Lonchura striata: one gene and its partners. The protein of the gene in region 1 purifies or fractionates together with the protein of each later gene. This does not show direct contact. Links are inferred from orthologs where the notes say so. Each region holds a gene or a part of one and is shown on either strand. Other genes may lie near its edges.

The links.
Region 2: the proteins of DMD (region 1) and SNTB1 purify together in Homo sapiens (co-immunoprecipitation; 4 studies listed by BioGRID and IntAct, counting the BioPlex papers as one, with this or other methods). This does not show direct contact. The link is inferred for Lonchura striata from reciprocal best matches to the Homo sapiens genes DMD and SNTB1.
Region 3: the proteins of DMD (region 1) and SNTB2 purify together in Homo sapiens (co-immunoprecipitation; 4 studies listed by BioGRID and IntAct, counting the BioPlex papers as one, with this or other methods). This does not show direct contact. The link is inferred for Lonchura striata from reciprocal best matches to the Homo sapiens genes DMD and SNTB2.

The regions. Positions count from the first base shown.
Region 1 is NC_134604.1:107,466,116-107,473,231, reverse strand, and holds the start of DMD (dystrophin), read left to right. Parts: upstream 1-4,042; 5' UTR 4,043-4,763; coding exon 4,764-4,860; intron 4,861-7,116. UniProt on the Homo sapiens protein: Anchors the extracellular matrix to the cytoskeleton via F-actin. Ligand for dystroglycan.
Region 2 is NC_134603.1:13,521,953-13,529,602, forward strand, and holds the start of SNTB1 (beta-1-syntrophin), read left to right. Parts: upstream 1-4,606; 5' UTR 4,607-4,688; coding exon 4,689-5,211; intron 5,212-7,650. UniProt on the Homo sapiens protein: Adapter protein that binds to and probably organizes the subcellular localization of a variety of membrane proteins. May link various receptors to the actin cytoskeleton and the dystrophin glycoprotein complex.
Region 3 is NC_134615.1:23,002,588-23,009,623, forward strand, and holds the start of SNTB2 (beta-2-syntrophin), read left to right. Parts: upstream 1-3,960; 5' UTR 3,961-4,073; coding exon 4,074-4,587; intron 4,588-7,036. Other genes in the region: UTP4 (U3 small nucleolar RNA-associated protein 4 homolog), read left to right, coding at 1-57, 183-354, 431-522, 864-960, 1,146-1,210, 1,311-1,433, 1,546-1,705, 1,939-2,045 and 4 more. UniProt on the Homo sapiens protein: Adapter protein that binds to and probably organizes the subcellular localization of a variety of membrane proteins. May link various receptors to the actin cytoskeleton and the dystrophin glycoprotein complex.

The DNA of each region.
Region 1 (7,116 bases):
ATGTAGAGTATCCACTTTTGAGTATGCCGTGCTCTGCATCTCAGAAAACTGTTTCTGTAGCATTTTTTGTGAATAACTTTTTAATGTCCTGTAGTATGAAATCCTGTTCTTGCTGAAGAAATCACTGCTTATTATTGCTGTAAGTACATCTGTAATAAAATTTTGAAAAAAAAATTTACAATAAACATGGTCAATCTTATTTCAAAAGGTTGGTCATGAATCCTCCTAACACATTTTGAGATCAGTGTGCTTTGAGCTTTCATCTTATGACAAATGCCTGAACATAGCTGAATTTCATATACCTAAGATTCAGTTCAAAAAACAAAGGTGAATTCTGCACAAAAATAACTGGATAAACTATGGTGCAGGGGAGCAAAAATTTTTAAATCCCTGAAAGTTTCAGCTCCTGGGATGTCTGTCAGGTTCCTAGCTGGATGACTTGGGACATACACATATCAAACTTCTCTTTGGCCAACACCATGGTCCTGTTTGGATGATGAGGCCTCTGAACCTTTCCATTGGAAAGGGCTTGTAAACATCCATGTGGAGAGGATGATGGCACTGGCCTTTTGGTTTATAGAGACATGACTTTTATGCATTTTTAATTTTCAGTTTTTCATACACTTGTCTGTAGTAATTTTTTTTTTAAATCTTGAGCAGTCAAAGCCACATTTGCTGAAATTGTCCGAACTTATCCTCTCCAAATGATTGAAATACTGCCATAAAAATGAAAGTACTGATTTGTCTAACTATATTGGAAAGTGACTGTTTATGCACAGATTACTCTTGTACATCAGAAATCCTATAATTGAAAAGTAGCTAATATAGAATGATTAACAGTAAGAAATAATAATTCCTGTCTGTGTTATCCAAACAAACTTCCCAGTGCTTTTATTTGAGGCGTTTATTAATCTAAACATGCACAGTATATCATTAACGTATTTTCTTGCATGATTGATCGATTGAATTAGTTGTTCACTGGGAGAGGCATGAAGTATCTAAGTAAAATGGGAGGCAGGGAAAAAGGGAAGAGAAAGTGACTTTCTTCAGGAGATATATTAGCAAAACAAATGAACAATATTTGCTAAGCAAGATCAGCATTCATTTCTGCATACTGGAGAGAGTTCATTATGTAGAGCGTCATGTAGAGCTGAAGGTCAAGGCCAATGTGCTTGCTTCCTGTTTTTCAGTGATCCATTATTTGCTCTTGCTTGGTCAGAGTCACTGGTGCTTCCAAAGAGGAAAAACAAAAACAAACAAACAAAAAAATGGCTTCAAGAAGAGGCTCTACAGATACCTGAGTTGTCACTGTCATATGCACACACCACCACAATAGAAATCAAGCACCCTGAATGCACCAATCAGTCCCTCTAGTAGCAGTGAAACAATTAAAACAAATAGATATGTCATTGCCATAAGCTGTAGATGGATAGGAAGAGACTTGTCACCCAAATAGGCTGGAGTTTCTTTGCCTACTGAGTTTTCAGTACCGTAGAAAGCAAAATGCCACTTGATGAGTGTTTTTCCACTTGTCATTTATTTCTGCTTATTCCAAATGGTTCTGTATAAGACAAAAAATTATGTATTTGTATTATTGTAGATTCTGGGAGTGCAACCCATGGAGCTTTCTCTCTAAAGCAATTCATTCCATATGGGTGGGTTGCTATAATTATATCTATGCAGATGCTGAATCCACTTACAATATGCAGAAACCACGGCTGTTGTTTTTGCAGAAAAATGCAGAAAAAGCTAGAGAAAAAAGCCAGCTATTAATCTGGCCTGTTAGTATGTGGACAGAATGACTGATACTGGTTTCCCCTCCCAGATTCTCCATTTATCTCTGGGCTGTTTTTCTATACAGTTAGTGTGCACAAAAGATACAAACATTGGTGTATTTCAGTTTCCTTCTCCTCCAAAAGAGATAATTAATAATATTTGTTGGTTTTTTTTTTCCCCAGAACAAAAATAGTTACTCCCCATAGACCTGATGTGTCTGGGAACGTCTGTGTGGCTGAACTGTATCCCATCCACTGTATGTGTGCTGTGTTGCAGGGCACTAATACTGAATGGTGAACCACAGTGGGTCCTCCCCATAATGCCATGCTTATTTGTCTGGAAATGCTCTTCATCAGTCCTTTATTTCCCCCTCTTCCTTTTTGTAATTCAAAGATATCTGCGTGGGATAGGAGTCTGGTAAAATATATTTTGCCACACCAGATGCTCCCATTAAATTTTCATTACTATATGTCTTACTAACATATTAAATGTTTTTCTTGATATTTTAATCTATAATCTTGCACATCTCAAAATCTATTGAATTAGAAATTTAGCCTATGTTGAGTTTTTGGGTACTTTAGATATTCTCTGCAAATACAAGCTATATGATATATGTGCTCAAACTCATCTGTTGTGAAATACCATATAAATTCCTTCTTTCTGTGTCTATGATTTAGAAATCGTAATGCAGCTAGAAGTGTGAAATATTAAGCATATCCTTTTATCTACTTGGAATTGATGGTGACTTCAAAGTTAGTCCTCATTCATTGCCCGGTTTGTTTCACTTCAGCAATGGCTTGAACTGTGAACAAAAGGAGCTGACAGTATTTTCAGATGGGCGCTTTATAGTTGTGCACTTTGCAACTATATGGTAGGACTATCTCTGTTGCCTTGAATGCAAAATTAGCTTGTTGATACGTGCTGCTACAGACAGAGGAACAGATGTAGTAATTCTACTTTATTTACATGAAATCTCTAAAAAGGCATTTTCTGGCAGCATGCTAGGAATAAATACAGCATCACATATAGAAACGGCGCCATGCTATGTTAGCTCCTTCAGGTGTCAGCTGTGCCATTTGGATGTGGGCGAGAGCAGGGAGTCAGATCCCTCCCAGAAGGGCTGGGAGATTTTTCACATTCTGCAACCCAGCAGCAACCTGCCCCTCAGCCCAGGGTCTCTGCTGAGTGCTGTGCCAGGGGTACCCGCTGGTAACAGCCCTGTGGGAGTCCTAGAGGAGGATATCAGATGTTCTGAATTTTTATTTCTATTTGTTTTTCAAAATAGGAAACCCTCTTACCTTGTTTCCTGGATTGTTTTTGGGATTTAGGTTATTTAGTTTGGATTTTGTTTGTTTCTTTTGTTGTTTTTGTTTGTTTGTTTGTTTATTTGGAGGGTTTTTTTTGCTTTGGTTGGTTTTTATTTTGTTTCTCCAGCCGCCTGCCCCCCCCTCACCATTTACTGTCTATGACTTGGATCTCCCCTGAGCTCATGCTTTCAGGCTCATTTTTCACAGCCAAGACCTTGTGGAACTTAACTGAGATTCGAAACTTGTGGGGGAGGAAGGGGCTCATAGGGTGGGGAGGGATTGCAAACCACAGAAAAGTTCAACATATATAATCTGAGTAAAGAAATGAGGCTTAAGTCTATGAGTCTTTTGAGCCAGGACTACAAGAACTGGTGAGTGATGCTGAGCTGGCAGCTGCCACAAGGGAAAGCTTTCCTGGGGGACTCTGCCTTTTCTCCCCTTCCTCTCTCCTCATTTGCCATTGTGCAAAGGCTGAGGAAGGATGTAGGTATTACTCCAGTGGCAGTCCTTGCTCTCCCCTCACTACTTCAGTCAACTATCAGGTTTAAGCCAGGCTGTTGCCTCTATTGAATTGTCCCTTCTTTCACTCACAAACTTTCCACTGTGGGGTTGGGGTTGTTTATTCAGCTTATGAGCAACCAGACACATTAAAGATGAAATGCCTTGCCTCTGAACTGCAGGCAGAAGTGGTGGGAGGAGACACAGCTAATTTGACTTGGAGGATGATTGATGTGTAGATGTCAATTTCTATTAATATTCTTTTGAAATCACTGACGCAAGCGTGTTTTTCCCCCACTCAACAGAAAATATAAATAGAAAGACAACAAAACAACCCTGTCCCTTTAATTCCTGATACTCAGAAACAGTTAAGCAAACTCTGTCATTTGAAAGTGTCCTCCACAGGCTGGCAAAAAGCAGCTTATTGTGGTGTTCTTACCACTTTAAGAATATCAAGATGCTGTAACAGAGCTATCTACTTACTGTTAAAATGTATAAAGAACAAAAAGCAAGTGTCACTACAGATAGGCTTAGATAAATTGCTTAAATATGTACAGCTCCCTCATTAGACAGCCATTCATTGCATGAAAAGAACTAAATGCATTTGTTGAGGTGTAGCTATAAAAGCCATGTTCAAAATGAACAGAGTTGAGAGCCTGAACGCACAGCACTGTTATTCAGAAGTAGCTTTCGAGCAGAGAGTTTCAACGGGAAGGTGCTGTTTGGTTGGACACAAATCAGCAAACGTTTAGCTGAAGCTGAATAATTTGAGCGTGCATGAAGAGCTTCCTGAAGAGAGAAAAAAACGCAAGAATAAAAAAAAAAAGGAAAACCTTCAAACATTTGCATCAGCCTTAGAGGACAATACAAGCAGCAGGATTTGAAACAGATTTACAGATGCACTCTCTTTAGGCAGGGAGAATGCTCATTAAATGCAAGATGCTTCTGTGGCTCGTGGGCTTGCACGGAGGTAGAGGTTTGCAAGACTGACGTATCAGATAAAGTCAGAGTGGTTACCACACCGACGGTGTAGCAGCTGCATAATAAATGATGGAGAGAATCATGTTAGGCATGCCCACCTAACCTAACTTGAATCATGCGAAAGGGGAGCTGCTGGAATTCAAATAGACTTTCTGGTTCCCAGCAGTCGGCAGTAATAGAATGCTTTCAGGAAGATGACAGATGCAGGGGAAAGATGCTGTTTTGCACTATCTTGATTTGTTACGGCAGCCAACTTATTGGCATGATGGAGTGACAAGAAAAGCAGCTGGCATGGAAGGTAGGATTATCAAAGCTATTGCATCATTATGAATGTAATTAGAAACTGACCATGACAAAGCATATGCTAGAATGAGCTGTCACTGATGACAGAGGATTTGTTGCTGAGGTCTTGAAACTCTGAAAACAAAATTCCTCGTGCAAAATGGATTTTGCAGTTTCATTTATGCTCGTGTTACTCTTTCTTTCCTGCTTGCCTGCAAGCTCGGGGAATTGCTTGCTTGAAAGAGAGTGTTCTGTTAGGATGAGACTGAAGAATAAAGTATTTTCTAAGTCTCTGAAGCCTCAGGTAGATAGAAACAAACAAATGTGAAACAAGACTGGGAAAAGCTCCCTCCGATTCACTAGCAAGCTCTGATTGATATATTGGTATATTGAGGAATTCCAAGGAAATGAAGATGCATGTACTAAATGCTCTGGTATAACAAAAGGATATTATTGCATGTCTCTGCTTTACAGTTAGTTTTTATGACAGGTTTTATTCCCCATCAGTTTTTAGCTCTTGACATTTATCCGGTTGTTCAGAATTATATAAAGAAAATACATCAATATCTCCTGCAGGGTTTCTCAACAACTCCAGCATCTGTTTCAGCTATTGAACTGTACTCACGTTTTGCCAACTTGATGCCTACCCAGCTGGTCTGTCATTTCTCGCTTGATTACTGTTCCTAATTTCTCTGTATCAACTTGTTTCAGATAGGGTTCTGAAAACTGTTAATGAGAAATGACAGTAACTGCTTAACTGTTGAGATCTTGAGTATTCTCTTATTTTTAAAACATTAGAGAGCATTTCTGTGTGCATTTTATTAAATTCATGTTCTGTGTTGCACTGTGAGGTTTTCATATAATTACTGAATTTAACTGTGAATACTTTAGGTGGGTCACAACCATAACTTTTAACTGAATATTTTGAGAGAGTTTGAGAAAATTTACAGGTGTTTTCTTTGGTGTAGGTATTGTATTATTACATGATCCTTCCTCTTGTCCACCTCACAACATATATATTCTCCCTGTCTGTCACGGTGAACAGTCATTAAGTGCATATTGTACATATTGAAATATATTTTATCACCACTAGGGTGAACCGGCTGAGCAGCTCTGAACAGGTGATAGGAACAGGTTTAAAACAGACATCAGCTCTACAAGAGTGGATCGCCCTCGATTAGAGAGGTGAAAGTAGTGCTTTGTAAATGTAAGGTATTCTCTTTCTTCCTATTCAAAGGTTCAACAACCACTCAAACACTGCTTGATAGCTCACAGGTTATGATTATGTTAAATTACTTGGATTACTTTACAAAATGCTTTCTTCTATGTAAACTCCATTCTTCATTAGAATTTTCTTCATTAGAAATTTTTTTTCACAGGTGATAATCAAAAGATTTCTTGTCAAACTGGATATTCACTTTTCTGACTTTATCTTAAATTACTTTATTGGCTGTACTCTGTGTTGTCTTGTCAACAGGGATCAGGCTATTAAAGACTAAATGTTGCTGAGTAAAACTGTAACAGTTTTAGAAAGATAGATGTTTCTAGATACATAGCAGTGAACCAGCCTTTGGAAAGTTTGAATGTAAGGATCAGTAAAACTAATAGCTGGTTGGTGTTATTTAGCTTCTTGTGCATTTCCCTGTTTTGATCATTTACAAGAGACATTTTAAATTATTTTGTAACTGCTGGGAGGGGAGATGTACTCATTAACAGAGAGGATCACTGTAGGGTATGAATAACCAGAAATAGTTCTGTAGTTTTGCTGATAATAAAATAAAATAAAATTTTATTCTGTTTCATCGAAGTTCAATTAAATTTAACAATACTTTCTCATTGTTGATCACAGTGAAACCATAGAGAGAGAAACCTCTATAAACAGCTTAAGTCTCATTCTCCTTTTCAGGGTAGCAGTAAAACTGTTTTATATTGCATATATTATATCTTTATACTCCTGAATCTGCTTAGTCTCTTCACGTCTCCAGAATGCTGGCTGGCAATCATCATGCAGTAGTTACTTAAAATATTCTTTTCCCTGTGATGCCAGTAATTGTAACTTCATGCTGTCTGTGGCCATCACCCAGCTGACAAGAGATTTTTTTAGTTTGTTTCTGTTTTCTCTCTAGTATTTGGTTTTAGCTTTCTCTTTCACTGATGAATTAATAGGACACTAGGTGGAGCCAGCTGTTGATTATAAATAGATCTACAGTAATACAGGCCTGTCTAATGAGCAAGCCCCAGTATATAATGCTTATTATTAAAAATAACAATT
Region 2 (7,650 bases), on another chromosome or scaffold:
CAAACCATAATTCCAGGTTATGAAGACCTTCAGGCGTTCCTGACATCTTCATAAACCCCACCAGCACCAATGAGCAGTGATTACTGAATGCTGACTTTAAAAACAACAGGCTCCCTCAGCACTGAGGAGGGGAGGATTTCTCCTGGGGATTAGGTGAGCTGCCTGCCCTGCACCAGCAATCCCTGTTGGAAAGCATGACACAGGCCACGTGTGATGTCCCCCCACGGGGCAACAGGGACATCTGCATCAGCACTGGAGCTTGCCCTGCTGCATCCCATCAGGCATAGACATAGGAGGGGCTGCCATGGGGGAACGAGTAGTTCAGGCATGTTCCTCAGAAAGGAACTTAAACTTGGCTGCTACAGTGTTTGGGATCACTGAAGGAGCTGAACTCCCTTCCAGCTTTCTCATTATTTGCCATGTTTCCAGCACTGGCCTTCCAACACTGGACTTCCTTCCTATCCAGATCTGTCTGCTGAGCTGGTCGGTGTCAGGGTAACAAGATGGGAATGTCATTATCCAGACCTGATTTTGTCCAACCTCCGTCAGCTGAAGCATGTTCAAGGATCACAACCCAGTTTTTTCCAATTTAAAGCAGCTTTGGCTGAGCTGGCTTTAAGCTGTTGTAACACTGATAATGCAAAAAGGAAGAAAAATAAGATACAAGAAGGGTTTAAGCATGTCCCAGAAGTCCTTAAAAAATTACACCTCTGCTATAGAACAGCACAGACAGTCATAAAGAAGCCACAGCTATAGAAAGGCTCTCTTGTGTCCTTACCTTCTCTGCCTGTGAGGGAAATGGGAACTATGTTCCCTGTAGTGCTGAGTGGTGAGCTTGCATATGTGGCCTTGCAATGATTTTGCTATTAGGACGACAGTTTATGTACACAAGATATGAACACTGGCCTCTGCCTGAAAAAAGGGAAAAGCCCCCATTAACAGGCAGTGTCCTCATTGTCTCCAGTAGCCTCTACAGAAAGTTGAGCACCATACCCACAACCCTTTCTGCACAGTTTTTCTTGTACTTTTGTTCTTGCACATACAGACCCCAAATCCCTTGATCTTGCTTGGACACCTGGGCAGTTCCTCAGACATCACTTCTGCACTTTATGACCTGGACATGCTTTGGTGCTCCTTGTCCTGGGAAGCAGCTTCTGTGTTTTTCAATGCCCTGACTTCTTCCAGTTCACTGAACTGCTTCTTCCATTTAGGCCCTTGACTTCAGCTGAGCCCATGGGCCCCTGCAGGTCAACAGCAGCTATTAGCATTATTTTGCCTAACAATTTGTTTATATAGCAGGAATGAAAGGGACACTAATCTAGTTCAAGCATCTAAGCACTGCTAAAATACAAAAATCAAAAAATTATTATTTGGCTTGTTTGAAAGATTCCATTCTTCACATCAAACCCTTTCAGAAGGAAAACTGATGGAGAGAGAGTTTTGCTAAGCCTTGTCTGTGCTGAACGGCTTTCTAGTGATTAGAGATGGAAGTTTGGAAGTATTGAGTGCTTTGCCCATCCCACCACACATCTCAGCTTCTTTACAGAGAGTCACTGAACACTGCAATTGCAGTGTGAGTAATTACAGATGCTGCCAGAAACAAAACTGTCAGGGAAAGTTTGTAGTTGAAATCAGGAATTTGCTTTCTGCTATGCCCTGGAAAACATTAGGGACCAGCAGCTGACTTTGGAATAACAATTTTCTGTGGCAAACCTGGGCATCCAATATCTGAACACCCAATTAAATGCCTGGTTTTATCTTCTGTTTCTGCTCCTGCTGCATAAACCTGAATTTCAGAAATCACAATGCAGGTGTGACTGGCAGACCTGAGGCAGGACTGAAGTCAGTAATGTTGGTAGGGGTACCAGCAGAGAAATCTCAAGACATCTTTTCTTTCTCACCTTCAGTTCAGCAGCCCAAAGTTGCTCTTGGGGTACACAAAGACTCAGGGTACACAAACAGAATTATGAGCCTGCACTCCCAGGACAGGGAACACACGCATCAGTATCAACTGCAGTGTCTTCAGGAGGAAAGACAATCTGTGGCACTGTTTGCCTCGAGCCTGTGCCTTAGCATCTCTTACACTACCTTTATTTTCAAGACTAAAACATCACCTCCATTTTCTTTACAGTCCCAAGGTGGGCAAAAAGGGGGAGGAAGAAGCAGGGAAGGCTGCTATGAAGTTTATTTTGTACCGGGGATCCATATCTCAGATGAAGGTCCTGGGAAACTTCATTATGTACCTCAGTTGGAATGAGAAAGCAAAATATCTGGAATAAGCACAACTCTCAGCTACATGCAGTGCAATTGTCTATACAAGTGAGTTCCATGGGAATCTACTGGAGCACCAGGAACAGTCAGCAAACATGGCCCAAACACACAGTGTGCCAAAGAAGGGTGAGGCATTAAACATTTACTTTCCTTTCTCTATTACCTTTGCACAACAGGACAGAAACCACCTAAATATCTCTTCATTATAAATTTTCTTGAACTACTTCAAAAATACACTTTTCCATTAGCAGCAGCACTCATCCTTTATTAATTACTAAAGAAGAAACATAAAAATAATTGGTAAGAGCTGATCACTTGGAAACAGATGTCTGATTTTATAACTTGACCTGGACATTTGTGCTTGAAGCTACACAGGAGTGTGAATGCTACAACAACAGGCACGGTAACACCTGATTTTGCAAACCTGTCTGTTCCCTCCCATCCTTATTTTACAAACCTAAAGCTGCTGGAACCAAAGGAGCACATTCATTAATTATGCTTTGCACCTGGGAATGGGATCTACAAAAACCCACCAACCCAAACATCCAGGGTATTGTACATGAGCTACTAAATGAGCAAGGGAGGAATCAGGTGGAGAAAAGGGTGTGTTGCAGCCTGCTCCTGCACAGGGATTAGGTACCTTGTTCAGGTTTAGCGGGACATGCTTCTTTTCACTCTGGATTCACAGCCCTGAAAACTTAATTATAGCTTTTCACCTTGCATTGATTAACATGAGAAATGAAGAGCCCTCTCTTCCGTCTGCTTTTTCTCCACCCACTCATTATCCTTGAATAACACATAATTTGGATTCTCACTCTCCATAGGTGCAGGGTTGCATTCCTACTGGGGAGGAGGGATCCATAACCTGGATGAGGCTGCAGATGAACTAAAGTAGAGGCCTCCTTTTGGAGGGAAGAAGCATGGTCTGAGAGACCCTACTAAACCAAGACAAACTCGTCTGAGGATGATCCCATATATAGGTCCCACCACAAAGTGAGGAGGTGAGTCCCAGGTTGGCCAGCCCACATTACCCTGGGGCACATGTGTGTACCTAGAAACAAATCCCCAGTGTCAGAAATGAATGGCATCACTTCAAAAAAGGGCAAGATGGAGCCCTTAGGAAGCCACATGACTCACATGGCTGAAATGATTGGGACTATCCAAAATTATTTGGACTATCCCAATATCCCCAACTTCTCTGGCTATCCCAGCCTCCACAAAGTGTTGTCTATACATACACCAGATGGTCCAGAAGCACTGGAGTTTTCATTCCAGCTTAGGAAGAAAGCAGAGCTGCTCTGCAAGGAGCAGAAACAAAGGCAGTCCTGGAGGTGCTTCCTGTCTGCAGCTGCTGTGGGGGAGCACCTCCAGGCCTGCTGAGGACATTTCTGAAAGGCAACCTGAAAGCATTGCTTTCTCTGATGCCTGAGCGGGAGCTTTAAGCCCCTTGTCAGGGGTCTATTGTTTCCTAGGAGGGCAGAGAGTATGGGAAAAATTGCAAAAAAAGACATGTAGCCCCACAAGTCTTTAACATTTGTAATCAAAGGGCATATAAACAATTACTAAATGTGCAAAAGTATCAGTCACAAACACTTAATACCTTCATCCTACAAAGCCGTGAAATAACTTGTATTCTACTTCCATACCGCTGAAATTTAAGTACTTGGGGCCACCCGTTAGTTTTAATTCACTTTATAGAAAAATCCTTGGGAATAAAACAGAACTGGGTTTTCCTTATCTCTTCCCTGCCCTTGGTTTCCTACAGCTCCCCGCTACACCCCACTGCAGACGGCAGCTGCGGGGCTGGCACTGCCGCTCCGGCGGGGCCCCGCAGCGCCAGACGCGGCCACAGCCCGGGCTCGGAGGGAGCCGGGGCTCCGCGCGGGGGTCCCACGCCGTGTCCCCGAGGGGTCCCATGCCGTGGGGCTCGGAGGGAGCCGGGGCTCCGCGTGGGGGTCCCACGCCGTGGGGCTCGGAGGGAGCCGGGGCTCCCCGCGGGGGTCCCACGCCGTGTCCCCGAGGGGTCCCATGCCGTGGGGCTCGGAGGGAGCCGGGGCTCCGCGTGGGGGTCCCACGCCGTGTCCCCGAAGGGTCCCACGCCGTGGGGCTCGGAGGGAGCCGGGGCTCCGCGTGGGGGTCCCACGCCGTGGGGCTCGGAGGGAGCCGGGGCTCCCCGCGGGGGTCCCACGCCGTGTCCCCGCGGCAGGGGCGGGACGCCCCGGTCCCACTCCGCCCGCGGGCGGTGCCGCCAGGTGCGCCCGCCCCGGCGCGGCCCCGGCGGGGCGGCCGCGGCTCCTGGCCCCACCCCGCCGCGCCGGGAGCTGCCGCCCCCCGGCTGAAGTCCGGAGCGGCCGCGCCGTGCCGAGCCGAGCCGCGCCGGGGGTGCCGTCACTCGGCGCTTCCAGCATGCTCCTAAGATGGCGGTAGCGGCGGCGGGCGGCGGCGGGGGCGGCCGGGCGCAGCGCAGCGGCTGGCTGGAAGTTTTGGTGCGGGAGCGCTGGCACAAAGTGCTGGCCAACTTGGGCGGCGAGGCGCTGGTGCTGAGCGGCGAGGAGCGCCCCGACGGCGCGGCGCACAACGGGCTGGGCGGCGATGGGACGGCGTGCCGCGGGGCCGAGGGCGGCGGGGGGCCGGCGGCGGCGCGCACCGCCTTCACCGACCCCCCCGAGCAGGTGCCCGAGGCCATCTCCAACAAGAAGCGGTGCGTGAAGGTGCTGAAGCAGGAGATGGGCGGACTGGGCATCAGCATCAAGGGGGGCAAGGAGAACAAGATGCCCATCCTCATCAGCAAGATCTTCAAGGGGCTGGCGGCCGACCAGACCCAGGCTCTCTACGTGGGCGATGCCATCCTGGCCGTGAACGGCACCGACCTGCGGGATGCCACTCACGACGAGGCGGTGCAGGCGCTCAAACGGGCCGGCAAGGAGGTGCTGCTGGAAGGTAGGGGAGCGGGGCGGTCCGGCCGTGCGCACCCGGGAGCGGGGGCCTGTGGGGCGGGGCGGCTCCGCTGCCCGAGAGGCGGCGGAGCCGAGCTGGGAGCGAGGGGATGACCCCGCGCATCTCCTGCTGCTCCTCCGAGCGTCTTTCAGCACGGAGAGTTCACGCCCTGTACGCGCTGGGACCCTCGACGGCGTGTGTCATGGACACAGCCCCTCGGCAAGGGACGAGCGGGATGCCGGGGAGCCGGGCTTGAACTTTCCGCTCTCGTATCCGCCGGTGCAGTCCCCACAGCCTCGTCCGTGCGCGGTCGGTGGAGGCTCCGCAGCCCCGTCTGGTCGCGGCGATGCACCCAATACACTCAATATCTGCTCCTGGGCTGAGGCTCCCGGTAGGAGCCTGACCGAGCCTCCTGCAGGGTGAGGGATCCTCTGGATCTGCCGTCAGGACGCTTTCACATCTTTTCAGTACAAGAAAGGTGGGGAGAGTTGGGTACTTTGAGAGGAGAGGTTAAACAAGTAAAGGAACCCCTCCTTCCTCCCCTGGCATTAAGGGAATGACATGGGTGACTTTGCCCCAGTCATCTCGAAACGCCCGACACCACCCTCTCTCCAGTTCCTCCTTCCACCACGTACTCCCGAATAGGGATGTGGGGTGGGGGCAAAGCGGTTTAAATGAAGCTGAAGGTGCCTCACGGACTCACTAGCCATCCCACCCCTGCAAAGGAGCGCCCTTTCCTTTCTCAAGGGTGGCTGAAACAGTTTTGTAAAAAGTAGCCTTAGAAATTGACCTCAGAGAAAAGAGCAGACGCTGGTGTGCGTGGAGGGGACGTGGAGGGAGGGTGTCCCCCCAGAACGGGACGGATGTTGGGGGAGAGCGAGTAGAAAAGCACAGGCGGTTTCCCTCAGACTACGAGTCCATGAGGAGAGAGGCGTGCACAAACGTTTAATCCCCGTCTTTTCACAAGGGCTAATTTACTTGCTCCACCTGAGAGAATGAACAGCTTCAGAACTGCCCTTGGCGTGTGTATGATAAAGTGATTACATATTTGCCCACGAGTTCATTTAACCGGAGGTCAATGGCATTTGAGGCATGCTGCATCGCTGCCTTCCCCTGTGCCATCGCTTTCCTGCCGGCACTCCCACCTCGCTGTACCTGTAGCCCTTTCCGTACCGCGCATTTCTTTCTGTGTTTTTTTGGTGGTTATTTTGAGGAGCAAAAGGAGATGCTACCGCTGGCTGGGAGGTGCAGCTGAGGATCAGCCATGAGCAGCCAACTATGGCATAAATTTGCAGAAAAAGTTTGAAAGGGAGAGAAGGTGACAAATGTATTCCATAGTAGTGTGTGCTGAGAAACTCTTTTGTTGTCCCTATGACAGTGAAAACTGGAGGAGTTATGCTCCATGAGGATTTAAGAAGCTGAGGACAATTGTGTCTCCTCTCCCTCTGTGCCCTGCAATACCTGCAGGACCGAAGTGCATCTTGTCTTCCCTTGCTGCAGCTGAATTGATTACAGCTATACCTCTGAAGTATTAATATGAACTTCTCTGAAGTGGGGCTGTTGCATCTAAATTTTGTCACTGATTTGCTTGTGCAGTGTAAGGTCTTTCTGGGGTGCCGTCAGGTAGTGGCTGGGCTTTTGCTGTGACCTAATGAGTAATGTATATGATGCTTGCAAATCTCCCTGCCTCTGTGTGGTGAGCCTTAAAAAACCCTGTTTTCTTCCAGGCTAGGAGTGAAGATGAAGCCGTTTCAGTGGGGACTCTGAGCACCCTCCTTCACTCCTTTTGACATCACAGCTGTCTTGCATTTCTTTGCTCCGTGCTGAGGTGCCTCAGTAGTTGTTTCTGCAATTGAATTTGTAATTTGCAAAACGAGAATATATTTCAGTAGTGATCTGTATATAGAGGTAAAATATTCTGATGCTGCACTCCGTATTTTGTCCTGGCTTTCTCTTGCTATTTCAGCAGAGTAACCAAACCAAACGTTGGCTCCAGCATTGCCTGGGAGGGCTTCTCCCTTCAGTGGGGACCCACTCCACATGAATGGCGTGTGAAAACAGGCAGCTTAGAACAATTCTCTGTGATTTTATTGCCCACTTTGAAGCTCATTCTTCAGCAGCAGAGTCTAAAATGGTATGTTTATTACTAAAGGAAGGAAAATGCAGAAGTTCTTTTTACTCTTTAAAGTATGGAAGGGTAACACTTGATTTTCCTTTCCTTACAGACAATAGGATTTTGCCATTTCCTGACTTCTTAGAGAGTTATATATGGCAAAAAGCAGGCTGTGATGGGGCAGGGCAACACCCTTGTGCAGGTCCTCTCTAGACTCTATCCAATTCACAGAGCAAAGTCAGCATGTGTTTCCAGGGTCAAAATGTAAGATCTACATTTTGGGGAGATTCTGAGATTTGTTTGTGTCTTCCAGCCCAGGAAAGTCAAAT
Region 3 (7,036 bases), on another chromosome or scaffold:
CTGGCAGAGTCCTGCGCCGTCAGCACCTCGGCCGTGCTCTCGCTGGCCGTGTCAGAGGTGGGTGACACCCCCAGCTCCCCCCTGGCTGGCAGGGAGCGGAGGTGCCGCACTCGAGGCCTCCTGGCAGTGCCCTCCTGTTGTTCCCAGCTGCTCCCACAGCCCCGTCCCGTTTCCCTCCACAGAAAGAGGACAGCATAGTCGTGGGCACCTCCAGCGGGGCCACCTACCAGCTGCAGCTGCTGCCAGTGAGGCTGGGCGGGCTGGAGAAGCAGTGGGTGCGCACGAAGGTGTTCCAGTTCCACAGCCACGACGTGCGGGCCGTGGCACACAGCCCCACCGCCCTCATCTCCGGGGGTAGGACTGCTGCTGGCTCCGGCACTGGGCGGGATCTCCCCTCCCAGGGTGTGGCTGAGCTGTGCTTGGCTTGCAGGCCTGGATGCCCAGCTGGTGATCCGCCCGCTGATGGAGAAGGTGCAGAAGAAGAGCTACGACGCGGTGCTCCGAAAATTCATCTTCCCCCACGTGAGTGATGCGTGGACTGGGGTCGTGGGGCTGGAAGGGCTGGATCTCCCTGCCCCTCCAGGTGCCTTCATTGCCCTGCCAGGGTTCCTTCCCTGAGCCTGGCTCCCTCCTCTGCCCTGTTTGTCTCCTTTCCTGGTACATCTGGAGGCTCTGCCAAGGAGCAGTGGAAGTTGCCAAGCTGGTCCTGCTGGTCCTGCTGGGTCTCCATCTCCATCCCATGGGACCTGATTTCCCTGCTCACCCCCGTGGGGAGTCACCAGCACTCCAGGGCATTCCGGCTGTGCCCCAGCCCGTTGTGCCAGGCTGTGGGTCCATGACACCCTGCCCATTTTTCCACGCAGCGACGCCTCGTCTCCTGCGCCAGGAAAGCCCGGCTGCTCCTCTTCCAGTTCTCCCAGTACCTGGAGCTCTGGAGACTTGGCTCCACTGAGGAGACTGGTGAGTCACAGGCACAGCTCTCTGGTGTCAGCTCCCTGGCAGAGCCCAGGCTGCCAGCAGGATTTGGGGGTTGAGCTGTCCTGGGCCTCAGGGAAGGGTCTGGGCACTCCCCCAGGATCCCCAGCTGCTCAGAGAGCCCCGTGTGGTTTTCCCACTCACCGGTGTCCGTGTGCTTTCTTTCCCAGGAAAGGACGGTGAGGTCCTTCCCTTGTGCCAGATGCCCGAGCACCTCTTGCAGCTCAAGAGCAAGGTAGGGCTGAGGGGGCTGGGGTGCCCCTGGGGCAGGTGAGGGGCGTGTGCTGGGCTCTGGGGGTTCCTCGGGCCCCCCCTCAGTCCCGTGGCATTCCCAGGGCCCGGAGCACATCTACTGCAGCAGCATCTCACCCTGTGGCACCTGGCTGGGCTACTCCACGGCCTCCCGCTTGCAGCTGTACCGCGTGCACTGCGACGGGGACGGCGTCAGCCTCAGCAAGGTCAGAGGGGCGGGGGGCCGTGGGGCCTGGGGGCTGGCACAGCCAGCGTCACTCGTGGGGACCATGGGTGGCAGCGGGGCGGCTGCCAGGGCTGCGTTCTCCCCTCTGCCAGGTCCCCAAAGCGCCCAAGCTGCTGCCTCCAGCCTACCAGCTCCAGTTCTCCGCCGCCTCCGACAGCCTCTTCGTGGCCTCCGCTCGAGGAGCTGTGCACGTCTTCCAGCTGCAGGAGCCGGGGGGCTGCAAGCACCTGCACACACTGCGGCCGCCCTCAGGTGTGGGCTGGGGGTTCCTGGGGTGGGGCTGGGGGTTCCTGGGCTCCGCATTCCCCTCCCCTGTGGGTGCAGAGCGGGGGTGTCCCCCTTTCCTGCCCTGAGGGGTGTGCGAGTCCCTCCCGGGGGTGTCTGTGCCCTCGTGGCCGGGCACTGGACAGGCAGGGGGGACGTGGGGCTGGGTGTCTGTGGGTCTGAGGCTCCCAGCACCCCTCTGAGCCCGAGGCTGTCTGCAGGCTGCTCCGAGGCCGTTTACCTGCTGGCGCCGAGCGCGGACGGGCACTGGCTGGCAGCCGTCAGCGGCGACTGGGCCATCCACGTCTACAACCTGAAATGCTTCAAGGTGGGCCTGGGAGGGACCCCTGGAGACATCACTGCACCCCTGGAGCAGGGCTGGGGTGGGTGTGTGGGGCAGGGGGTCAGGGGTAGTTCTGGAGGTTCTGCTCGGGGTGGGTGTGTGGGAAAGGGGGTCAGAGGCAGTCCTGGAGGCTCTGCTCGGGGTGGGTGTGTGGGGAGGGGGGTCAGAGGCAGTCCTGGAGGCTCTGCTCGGGGTGGGTGTGTGGGGAGGGGGGTCAGAGGCAGTCCTGGAGGCTCTGCTCGGGATGGGTGTGTGGGAGCGCTGTCAGCAGTGGCTGTGGCGGGTCCCACCAGCACACTGTCCCCTCCTACAGCATCACTGCGTGGTGCCCAGCTACGACTGCGCCGTATCGGCCCTCGCCATCCACCCCATCACCAACAACCTCGTCATCGCCTACTCGGACCAGCAGGTAGGAGCTCTGCTAGTGGAGCTCTCGTGGCTCTGCTCCCTTCCCCGTGTCCCTGCCCTTCCAGCGTGGCTCGGGGGCCTGGCTGGAGCCGCTGGGGCGCCCCTGACGTGTCCGTGCCCCGCAGCTGTCCGAGTTCAGCATCCCCGAGAAGCAGTACACGGGCTGGAGCCGCGCCGTGCAGAGCCGGGGGCTGCACCGCGTCTGGCTGGAGCGGGACTCGCCCATCACGCACATCACCTTCAACCCCAAGAACGCCGCGCACATCCTGCTGCACGACACCTTCCTGCTCTGCGTGCTCGACAAGTCCCTGGTGAGCCGGGGGGAGGGCCGGGGCTGCCCGGGCGCTCCGGGGGCGGCCTGACCCGTGCTCTGCCCGCTCCCGCAGCCCCTGCCCGACGACGGCGCCATCCTGATGAACCAGAGCACCCTGAAACAGCTCCCCGAGACCGCCCGGAAGCGGCAGCTCCACGCCTTCAAGATCTGCAAGAAGTTCCAGGTGGGTGGTGGTGTTGGGGAGCAGGGTCAGGAGGTGCTCGGGCTCTGGAGAGGGACTTTGAACAAGGGGACAAGGGGGAATGGCTTCCCAGTGCCAGAGGGCAGGGTTAGATGGGATAGTGGGATGGAATTGTTCCCTGGGAGGGTGGGCAGGCCCTGGCACAGGTGCCCAGAGCAGCTGTGGCTGCCCCTGGATCTGTCCAAGGCCAGGCTGGACAGGGCTTGGAGCAACCTGGGCTAGTGGAAGGTGTCCCTGCCATGGCAGGGGGTGGAACGAGATCCTTTAAGGTCCCTTCTACCCCAAACCATTCCCTATTTCCGTGATTCCCATCTCTGGCCTTGCAGCCACTGCTCTTCATGGATCTGCTGGACAAGAACTGCCTGGTTGTGGTGGAACGACCCATCATGGACTTCAAAACCCAGCTGCCTCAGCCTGTCCAACAGAAGAAATTTGGCACCTGAGAGCAGAAGAAGCCACTCCAACCTTGGGAACCGTCTCTGTGCTGCTTTCCTGGGGCACTGTAAGAATTTTCTTAAGGTGCTGTAGGAATAAAACCTCACTGTTGTGTACATGCCCAGGCTCAGGGCTCATCCTTGTGCGTGACTCCCTGTTGTTACACCACCATCATGTCAACATGATCTTCATATCCTTCCAGTTCTCCTCCCCGGGGCACAGGGATAAGGTGACACCCCAAATTCCATCCCTTTTCCCTCAGTGTCTAATCCCGGTGTTGGATTCTCCCTCCGCATCAGTCGTGTGGGTCCGTGGGTGCTGCCTGGGGCCGGGCAGCCTCATTCCCTAAGGACGGGGGCTGTGGGTGTTGCGTGGGCCAGGGAAGCGTCATTCCCCAGGACGGAGGGCGAGAAATCGGGGACCACGGAGAGCACGGGAGATTCACAGCGGGGCTCGCCAAATAAATCGCAGCGCGCCAAATAAATCCCAGCGCCAGACATGGCGGGCGGGGCGTGGCTTCCTTTGCCCCGCCTCTCAGAGCGACCAATCGCATCAGCGGTGGCTTAGCCGCCTCCTCTCTGATTGGTGGAATCGGGGCGGGGGCGGGGCGGCCCCACCCCAGTCTCCCGCGCCCCCGAGCCTACCGTGGCGCGCCATGCGGGCGGGGGCGGGGCCGCAAGCCACGCCCCCTCCGCCAGGCCACGCCCCTTCCCCGGTGACCGGCGGCGGCGGCGGCGGCATGGCCGTGTGGACCCGGGCTTGTAAAACGGGGCTGCTGGAGCTGCTCCTGCGGGACCGCTGGGTCCGCGTGTCGGCCGAACTGACCGGCGAAACGCTGAGCTTAACGGCGGAACCGGGAACCGGCGATCCGTCGGTGGTGAACGGCGTGGTGAACGGCAACGCGGAGGCGGCGGCACCCGGTGGCGTGAGGAGGGTGCGGGTGGTGAAAGCGGAGGCGGGAGGGCTCGGGATCAGCATTAAGGGAGGTCGAGAGAATCGGATGCCGGTGCTGATCTCACGGATCTTCCCGGGGTTGGCGGCGGAAAGGAGCGGAGCGCTCCGGTTAGGCGACGCCATCCTCGCCGTTAACGGCGTCGATCTCCGCGATGCCACCCACGATCAAGCTGTGCAGGCGCTGAAGAGAGCCGGGAGGGAGGTCATCCTTGAAGGTAACGCCTCAGCCCCTTCCTGTCCCCCGAATCCCCGGTACGGGCCCCTGGTGCTCTCCTGTCCCCCGCCCCGGTGCTCCCCCGCCGTTACCGGCTCCCACCACCGCCCCTGCCGCTGTCACCGGGCTCCCGGACCCGCTCTGGGTCGCTTTTCCGGGTGTGGGACGCCACTGCCCCACCCCAGTCCTGGCGTGTTTGTGTGTCCCCCCAAATCCCCGGAGCCTCGGGGGGCCCGCAGGACGGGGGGCAGGGGACAGGGGCTGGGGCGTCCCTCGGGTCGGGCTGCTCCGTCTGTGGCGGGATGGCAGCCGGGCACAAGGACAGGATATCCCCGCCGACTGCTCCTCCAGGACAGGCTGGGCTCCCTCGGAGACACATCTGGGATCCCCCAGGGCAGCCTTGGTGTCCCCTGGCTGTGGCGTCCCCCTGAGCAGGTTGTCCCCCATCCTTGGCACCCCCAGGCTGGCTGGCTGGCCCCAGGCGGGGCTGTGACGCCGGGTGCTGGTCCAGGGTCTGCCCACGTCCCTGCGGGCTCGGTGTCCCCGCGGGCCCCGTGCCCGCGGCACAGCTGGCACGGGACTGGCCCACGGAGCCACCGGCTCCTGCCCGACCTGTTCCCGGCAGCCCGACAAGCTCGGGCAGGACCTGCCCAGCCCGGCGGCGCGGCACGGTGTGCCACGGGGCACCGCGAGGCCACGAGCCCCCTGTGCCATCAGGGAGGGCTATCAGACAGTGCTGTGGTGCCACACGCACTGTCCTGGTGTCCTGGCACGTCTGTCTGTCCTCCGCTGCACGAGGCTGCTCCGGGGACACGGTGCCCGCTGGGCACAGGGCACAGGGACGGGTGCTGCCGCTTTGCCACGAGCTCCTGGCACACTGCAGTGGCACGAGGGGACACGGCTGGGCTCCCCGGAGTGGGCACACCTGGCACGAGGCGCTGGGGCACGGCTGGGGTGCCGCAGGGGTTGAGGTGGAGCAGCGGTGTCAGGCTTGGTGCTGTGGTGGGGGCTGCTCTTGGGTTCAGCCCGTGCTTCCTTCCTCCCGCTGCCCGTCCTTCCTCCCGCTGCCCGTCCTTCCTCCCGCTGCCCAGCCGTTTGATCCTGTCCTGCAGCAGCTCCAGCTCTGTGCTGTGTTTGTCCCTTGCTTCCGCCACGGGCACCACGGCAGACGCCTCTTCTTTCCCTTTCCTTTTCCCTTTCCCTTTCCCTTTCCCTTTCCCTTTCCCTTTCCCTTTCCCTTTCCCTTTCCCTTTCCCTTTCCCTTTCCCTTTCCCTTTCCCTTTCCCTTTCCCTTTCCCTTTCCCTTTCCCTTTCCTTCTCCCTGTGCTGGGACAGGAGCTGATGGGGGACACTGCCCATCCAGTGCCATCCAGCCCCATCCCTCCTCACAGCCCTGGAGCTGTGACCGCCCTGGCAGGTGCCAGAGCTTCTCCTGGGCTCAGTGCCAGTGGTGGAGGGGAAACCATCATCTCCGTGGGGCTGGTGTCACCCATCCTGGGGCTGGGTTTGGCCTCGGGGCCCACGCCAGGCACCACCCACGGGCCCATCTGCTGCCCTGGGGGAAGGGAGCCCTTCCGGAGCTGTGGGTGCGGTGCGGACCATGGGCACTGCCCGGGCACAGGCCTGGGGAAGCCGGGTCGGTGCTCCCGGCCGGGTGTGGGGGCTCGGCCCGGTGAGGCCGGTGTGCCGGCAGCAGTGCCGTGCAGCCGGAGCAGGCAGTGCCGTGCAGCCCCTTCCTGCAGCGGGGCAGCGAGGGGCGCAGCGACAGCCGGGCTTCCTCTGCGGTGAGCGCGTGGGTGGCAGTGGCTCTGCCGGGTGACGGTGGCTCCGTCGGGGCAGCAGCGGCCTCGTGGTGCGGCTGCGTGCTGGTCACGGCTCGCCAGAAGCAGAAGGGGTGGTCGCACCCCCGTGCTAGCCGCGTGTCTGCTGGCACAAGGCGCTCCGTGTCCTGCCTGCACCGTGGATGCTGCCCACTGAAAACTGGGAGCCGGTTCTGCTGTCCCCACCGTGGGCAGACACAGTCCTGGGCATCACCCACCATTCCCGGTCACCGCGGGGCACCCGCACCCCTGGCTCCCGAGCTGCTGGCTGCCCAGCTTGGCCTCTCACCTTCCTGGCTCCGTCGGGGTCAGTGCCTGAGCTGGAGCCCCACGCGCTGAGCTCCCTCCCAGTGCTGGAGGCAGCTGCCCACATCTGGCAAACATCTGCCGAGCGGCCCCGCAGCGGGAGCTGCCCGCGGCGCTCCCTGCCCGGCCCGGCAGCGGGATTAGGGGTGTGGGGCCGGCGGTAATCCCGGGATCAGCGCGGCGGCAGCAGCTAATATTAACTCCTGTGCTGCCCGCAGCAAGGGCAAGCACCTCGTGGCTCAGCAGAGCCGCTGGGAAGCGGGGGGCTGGTGTCTCCTGCCCGCTCCCCGTCCCTGCCGCCCCATCCTCGCTCCCCCTTCCCGC